Nothobranchius furzeri: one gene and its partner. The protein of the gene in region 1 interacts with the protein of each later gene in a pairwise test. Links are inferred from orthologs where the notes say so. Each region holds a gene or a part of one and is shown on either strand. Other genes may lie near its edges. The genes, in order: aqr and znf830.

The links.
Region 2: the proteins of aqr (region 1) and znf830 interact in a two-hybrid assay, tested with the Homo sapiens proteins (2 studies listed by BioGRID and IntAct, with this or other methods). The link is inferred for Nothobranchius furzeri from reciprocal best matches to the Homo sapiens genes AQR and ZNF830.

Annotation. Positions count from the first base shown.
Region 1 is NC_091758.1:25,923,864-25,927,687, reverse strand, and holds the end of aqr (RNA helicase aquarius), read left to right. Parts: intron 1-581; coding exon 582-756; intron 757-2,204; coding exon 2,205-2,309; intron 2,310-2,774; coding exon 2,775-3,047; 3' UTR 3,048-3,209; downstream 3,210-3,824.
Region 2 is NC_091751.1:50,905,262-50,909,242, forward strand, and holds znf830 (zinc finger protein 830), read left to right. Parts: upstream 1-1,568; 5' UTR 1,569-1,678; coding exon 1,679-2,701; 3' UTR 2,702-3,245; downstream 3,246-3,981. Other genes in the region: ankyrin repeat domain-containing protein 13C, read right to left, coding at 1-281.

The DNA of each region.
Region 1 (3,824 bases):
CTACTGCTAGTTGAAAGAACAAAGATTGGTTTGTGAATTTTAGATTTTATACAGTTGGCGTCTATCTACAGCGAACATAGCTTATCACTGAGCTTAAATTTTGGCTCGTGCTCACATTTATAGCTTTTTAAAAGACATCTTTTGGTTTTATGCTGCGTTCTTCTTTAGCAGAGTAAACAACCGCAACAGGATTCTTCCTGTTCTTATAGAAATTACTCTCCTGTCCCTCCTAATCTCTTAATTACCTTAGAGAGCAAATAAAAGTAACCTAAATCTGCCCCTTCCTCTTTGTCCCACTTCCCCCTTTTTTAATCGTTGCTTATCTTTGTCTTCTTCCATATTTGTCCCACTCAACTAGTCCTGCTTATCCTCCTCTAAACCTCCCTCCTACACCGAACTCATCTTTGCTTGTTCGTGTTTATCCTTTCACCGTGGCGCCAGCTTTTGTTTTGTTGCCCCTACACAGGTTTTTCTTCCACAGCTTTCCCTCCTTCCCACTCAGGTCTTTGAATCTTTTCCCCCCCTTTGTACCAAAGGAAAGTAGAAAAAAAAACAACTTCAACATTTATCGTTCTCCACAGGGATGTGCGGCGTCTGGTGGTGGCCATGTCAAGGGCCAGGTTGGGTCTCTACATCTTTGCCCGAGTGTCTCTGTTCCAGAACTGTTTTGAGCTGACTCCAGTCTTCAACCAGCTCACTGCCAGACCGCTGCAGCTCCACATTCGACCACACGAGTACTACAACCAGGAGCAGCATGTGCGTCAACACACACACACACACACACACACACACACACACACACACACACACACACACACACACACACACACACACACACACACACACACACACACACACACACACTAGCATAGTACCCAAATTTTGTTCGTAATTTCAATTCAAGGTCCTCTCGTATTTGAATTGTGTGTCAGTGTGATGAGAAAAAGAAGCAGTCTCAAAGTTATGTCTACCGTTATAACTTGGTATAAATTTAGTTTTGATCAGAAACCGTTTCGCATAAACGAGAAAAGCTCTAACAGCAAAATGGCAACGTATGTTGTGGCGTTCTGATCCAAATGAGCAGGGAAGATGTTCTTTGTGTATGTGAGTTAAAGCAGCTGCAGTGGGTGGAGCCTGATTATTATTAACATTGACGTTGGTTCCTGATCACACGTTTGTGTCGTAGGACCAGAAGCGCCCTATTTAGGGACACCTGTGCAATGTCGTTTATGCCCTAAAGGTCACACGCAACAGAAACGCATCAACTTTTCCTCGGATCCCTCTTCTTTACTTCCTCACCTACATTGGACTTTCTTTATTATTCTTCCCAGTGTTGAAGACAAATACACACACAGACCTTGACTTGTTTGGTATTTTCAGGTAACACAAACCTGGCTATGGTAGAGACAAAACCTTTTTCCCAAGTCCATCCAGACCAGCGTGGCACGACTTGTGTCTGGTCACTGTATTGTGTCTATAATACCCCGCAGCCTCTGACACATCCTCTGACTCTCAAGTGGTCATCCCCATGAGGGACAGCTCTATTGGGCACACACATGTGTCCCCCTGCTTATCACATCCACCTAGAGTCAGTATACGTCACCTGCGAACACACAGATGCAGAAGAAAAGTAAGATTTTGTCTGACGACACAACAGGAACTCTCGTGGGCTTGTTATCTCGACGGTTTTGTCTGAATAGAAACAGTTTGGGTTAATTTGTAAAACTAAATGCATCACGTTTGGAAATGAATCAGAAGGTTTGACTGATAGTTTTTACTGCTGTTAAGTTGTATAGTAGTAAAGCTTTCAGTCTCATTGACTTTGACACGAAGCCCACAGGGCGTCTGCGAGCACCTCGCCTGGATTTACCATCAGCAGCTTAGCTGAATGTTCCTCTCTTCAGTTTAGGCTGCAGGACTCTGTCTGCATACTGATGCCATCAAATTACTGACTCTGCAGCCTAAACTGCATTTGATCAGTGTGCAAGTAGCAAAAGCTGGAGGGAAATATTAGCTTACGAATAACAAGGCAGCAGGAAAGGAAGTTTTAATCTCCTCCCAACATTTAGCCCTAAATCAGTGCTGCCCCAGATGGTGCCTGAATTAATCAACTCTAATGTGAATGATATTATTTTCCTTTTTGTCTTATTCTGGATTCTCTAATTGTTCCTTTATTTTATTTATTTTTTTACTTTTCTCTTCAGAGAGATGAGCAGCCTGACCGGATTGTGAATAACATGCCGGAGATGGCTAACCTTGTGTACAACATGTACATGCACATGATCCAGACCTCCCAGAAGTACAAACAGGTAAAACAGCAGATAAAACAGCATATTTAAGGCTTTCTTCATTTAAAAATTGATAAATCAATGAACAAATGTACCTTTAATTGTGGATAATTATCTAATAAAAGCTAAATTGGTTTGAGATGAGTAAATTTACTAATTACATATCTATCTGTTTTGTGTCTAGATACATTTTTTTTAAATAACTGAAGGAATAAAAAAAAAAATGTTCCTAAGGAGCAAATATTTGATTTTATTATAACACAACAAAACATGATCATATTTATACCTAAAATTCATGGAAAAAAAATACTTTGTTTTTGTTTCCTTCAACTAATGCAGCTAAATATCACCTCAGACTTAGACGCTAAATATTGTGAAGTTTGATCAAAACACCTACTAGAGACTTTGTGAACATTTTCCTTTAATGTTTGAAATTTTTTATGCAGAAACATGTTTTAATCCTTTTTTTGTGTAACTTCTCAACAGCAGCAGCAGCAGCAGAAACTGGCAACGCCTCCCCAACAAACTCCAGAGTCTTCAAATGCTGCAGCTGAGAAAACACCAGAAAGCTCAGAGAAATCCCAGAAAGAAACGCCCATGGAGCAGGGAACCCCCGAAGGAGAGGCGAGCTCCGTGCCGAACCCAGAGGACACAAACGAGAGCAAAGGAGAGCAGGATGAAGTCGACCACACGAAGATGCCGCAGCATCCGGGCAGAGACAGCGACAGCGAGGAGGAGGGCGGCGCAGAAGAGCAGTAGAACGCATTTAATTGGACTGCTGATGAGGGATTCCCCTCTGGATAAAAAAGTAGTTTGATTTAATTATTTCTGCATCTGTTTTCTACTAAATAAAATCGTCATGATGATGATTTTTGTATTTTTTATAACATCCAGTTCTTTATTAAATAACATGGAAAACTTTTTGTATATCCAATCATTTCTCTCTCTCTCACACACACATACACACACACGCACACACACACACCAACAAAAAGGCTTTATTTCAATCTCTGTCATGATTCATTCATTTATCAGCTTCAAATCTGATTGGTTCAACCTATACAAGCTCAACTAAGCTGCATTTATAGGTCAGGTCCTTCACACATGAGCCTGTGTGTATGCTGGGGAATTTCAAGCTGCCCTGTGGAAATGCACTCACTCAACCAGCAACAACAAATCCTCAACCATTCACATATTTGCAGCTCTGCAGAGCGTTGGGTAGTAAGGAATGAGATTTCTGCGTATGGTGAAGACATTAATGCGAGACTTAATATTTGTGTTAACATCAAAAGGTTAAAAAAAATAGGTCTTGGTAATTTAAACCTAATTTAATTAACATGAAGCGGTTAACAGTCCCCCAGCCTGCAGGCAGAGACAGACTGGAGATAAATTCATTATGGTGCACCAGAGGTTAGTTGTTGCATCACACCTCGGGCTGGTTGACGGAGCAGGTCGCCCGCACAGCTGCTGGTGTCTGGGCTGCTGATGGTGAACCGTGCACTGATGCCATGTCAAGTGTAGGTTTATGAAATCCCC
Region 2 (3,981 bases), on another chromosome or scaffold:
TCATGAACAGGGAACTCCAGCTCATCACTGGTCAGGATAATTGGGTTTTTGTTGTCATCGTCCTTCACTGATGCGTTTCCGTTGATGTTGTTTGCATTAAGCTGCTGCTGCAGCGCGGAGGTTTTAACTGATTTCTGAAAAGCCTTGTTGGATTTAAAGTGGTTGTAAGTGTCGTTAGAGATCGTACCGTTAGAGGTTTCCTCGTAGGTGTCCGTTATCTCCTGGTTTTTGTTTGCTTTTTTGTGATCTTTTCGCATGGTGCGGATCTTTTCACCTGTCATGGTGCAGACTACAGTACGCTAATTACTAGATTACAAACTGGTGAAGGCGTGGCGTTTATTAAAGCACTGAAAGGCTCCGCAAATAAACGACAAATATTTGCTTGTTTTAAATATTTGATTAAATATCGTTACAGCTGTTGTCCCGAGTCAATTAGCTCCCCCGGCGCTAGCTAGCTAGCCCACAATAAAATAATGAATATGGTGGGTGCGGCGATGAAAACAGAAATTAATGCTAAACCCAAAATAACACTTGTACTAAAATAACATAAAGCTAAAACGTACAGCGACTAACGACGGCTACATCGTTATCTATTCTATCGCACCTTAAATCTACGTTTTAATATTATCGATTCAGTCTTTGCAGCAAAAGTGGGGCGGACAGGTTGGTATAATAAACCAAAAAGCTAACATTCTCGCTAGCACCAGCGGTGTACCGCAAATCTCGCGAGATTATTGGTTTAAAGAGTAAATTAATATGATTAATTTAAAGACAGGATGTTGATTTAGTAACTTCTAAAATACAGCTAATAAAAGAAAATGTAAAAAAAATGTATTATTTTTGTTCAACCAAGGTATATTGTGTGTTTTAACACGAGACAAAAATTAAAGTATACACTTGTTCATTTTTATGCCGTTATTTTCAACGAAATATAAAATTGCTTTTCCAAGAACAGACATATGTTAATGTGATATTTTAGAAAACACAACTTTTATGACACATGAAAAGTTTATGACTCCGGTTTCCCACAAACCAAAAACATGCATGTCAGCTTGATTTGACACTTATATTGGCGCTTTCACATCCCACGTGTTAGTATTACTGACTTCCATACACTTTCATAGATACCTTAAAGGCTCATTTTAATAATTAGTTGCAGAAAAAATACATGTAATCTCAATTAATGTTATTTAGTCTTTTATTTTTTATATCTTATAGTTTTAGTGTTGTTTTTATATGCTTGTAGTTTGAGTGTCTGCCAAGAATAACTGAAACTTTTCCGAAAAAATCTCGTAAATTTAGATAGGCCTTTACCCAATTATCATTTTAAACACAGAAGGAATCGTTAACAAATAACTAAACATTGTGCAAAAACATAATATCAGCCATATTGTCAAATACGTGACTTTTAATAGTTATGAACCCAAAAGTTTCCAAAATGTTGCTAAACACGGTTAAAAAAGGTGGAAAGGAGTGAGAGGGGCATTCATTCAAAATCAGAAAGAAATAAAAAATGTAGGTTGTGTTATTCCAGTTCAAATCCAGTTGATGGCAGCAATGAGCTAGGCGTTACCTTTTACCCGCGATAAAGACGAAGAAGATACGTCATCTTCATGAGACGTATTTTTACGGTGTTGTGAGCTAGTTGCTACCTGGCTAACAAGACGTGTTATTAAAAATGGCATCCTCTAAAAAAGGAAAGAAAGCAGTAAATCAAGAAGAGCTTCGACGGTTGATGAGAGAGAAACAAAGACAAACCACCGAGAAGAATCGCATCGTGTCTCCTTTCGCTAAATACAACAGTCTCGGTCACCTCAGCTGTGTCCTGTGCAGCGTCCAAGTGAAGTCGGAGCTACTGTGGCCAGCCCATGTTCTTGGAAAGCAGCATAAGGAAAAGGTTGCTGAGCTGAAGGCAGCCAAGACTCAATCAGTGGCTGCACCGAGTCAAGCGGTGAAGAGGAAAGCGTCAGACAGCGAAGACGCTATTGGGAAGAAGGCAAAACCAGCGGCGGTTGATGGTCAGGCTGCGTCAGGAGTTCCTGGAGATTTCTTCGATAAACCCAGCGATGAAGCTGCTGTCCCTGCTCAAAAGTCTGCAGGACTGAGTCTCTTGGCCGGTGTTTATGACGGGGATGATGATGAGGAAGAGGAAGCTGATGAGACGAATCCACCTGCTCAGAAGACTGAAGTTGCAGGACTACCATCTGACTTCTTTGACAGCTCCATCCCATCCACACCTGCCATTTCCCATTCAGGATCAATCCTTAAAGCAGACGTGCAGGAAAAGGCCATTGAGAAGAAGGATAACACAGCAGAGGCGCTCCCTGAAGGCTTTTTCGACGACCCAGTCAGGGACGCCAAAGTGCGAAACGTGGATGCACCAAAAGATCATATGGACAAAGAGTGGGAAGAGTTTCAGAAGGAGATACGACAGGTGAACACCAAATCAGAGGCCATCGTGGCGGAGGATGACGAAGAAGGTCGCATTGAACGCCAGATCGATGAAATTGATGAACAAATTGAGTGTTACAAAAGAGTGGAGCTACTCAGGGATAAGAGAGAAGTGCTGAAAAGGAAGGTTGTGCACGTGCCTAGTGAACGCATTCAAACAGAGGAGACTGTTGAAGATGATGAGGAGGATGAAGAAGGGCTCCTGGGGCTTTTGTCTCGAGACTGGAGGGCTAAAGGGGCTCTGGCCTGAAGGAACTTTATTACTGACTCAACAATTATTTTGTTTAAAGATTTCAGTTCAAGATTTATAAATAGATTTGATTTAAAAATGCTCATGTTTTTCTATAACATTACAGTGATTAACACAAAGTTGCAAGATGTGAGTAAAACTCAGAAACAATATCAGTTAATGACCACAAAATAAAACCATTTATCATCTTTATTGGTGCCCAAACAAAAAACAATCATAAAATCTCATTTACAGCAACAATTTACACCATGATGGCGGCCAAGGCCCTGACAACATGAGCTCAAATAACCATTGTCCTGCATAACCTATTGATGACATGTTTAATGAAAAAAAAAAAGTTCATGTCACATCAAAAATCAACATTTGCAGAACTAAATCATTAAAATATTGTGATTAAGACCATAAATTAAGTTTCAACAAGCTGGCCCCCTTAACAAGATAACCAGTTAATAATACATTTGTACAAAGCACAACAAAGTTTTATATTTCTGCGATGTAGATAGATGCACTATTAAAATGCAATAAAATGTATTGGAAATAGTGATTGTCAGTGTTTCTTACACTACCTTTTATATATATGATGAGCTAGGGTTGCCTTTTTCCCACTGCAACATCTCAAACTTACTTATTGCTGCATGTCTCATAAACAACCACTTCAAAGTGTTCATAGCCCTTCATATCTACAAAACATGACAAAATAAATTTTAAAAAGTATAAATACATGAACAGATTATGTGATCCGTTATAAACCTGGTGAAAATAAGGAGGAATAAATACAGAACAAAAACACTTTGTTTTATCCCAAAAGGTTTAAACTGCAGTATTCACTTGAGGTGAATAATTGTCTGACAATGCCATTCCTAGTGTTCGTTTGTAAACACAGAGTTTAAAAGTTGTACCGGGTGTTTATGAGAGCATTTGGAACTTGATGGGTCAAGAAAAGCCTGATGGAAAATGGAGGAAATGGATGAAAAGAATATAGAAAGACTGGTGTTCGGGAATGAGATTAAAACAACACCAATGGTCATCGGTGGTTTACTGTAATAAACCAAAGACCTGGCTACATTAGATCTGAATGTTTTCCTTACAGATGCCTGTCTGAATTTTGTCTAAAATGTAAGTAGTGATTTGTGACTGATGTCTAGAAGTGAACTTTGAGGGTGAGGGGTGAGTGAAGTGGGGGGCATATCAGTGCCATCTTTTCAGTAAGACGAATATTCAGATCACAAAAAAGTGCAGCAGTTTCAGAAATGGGTTGGGAACCCCAAACCCCCCCCAGG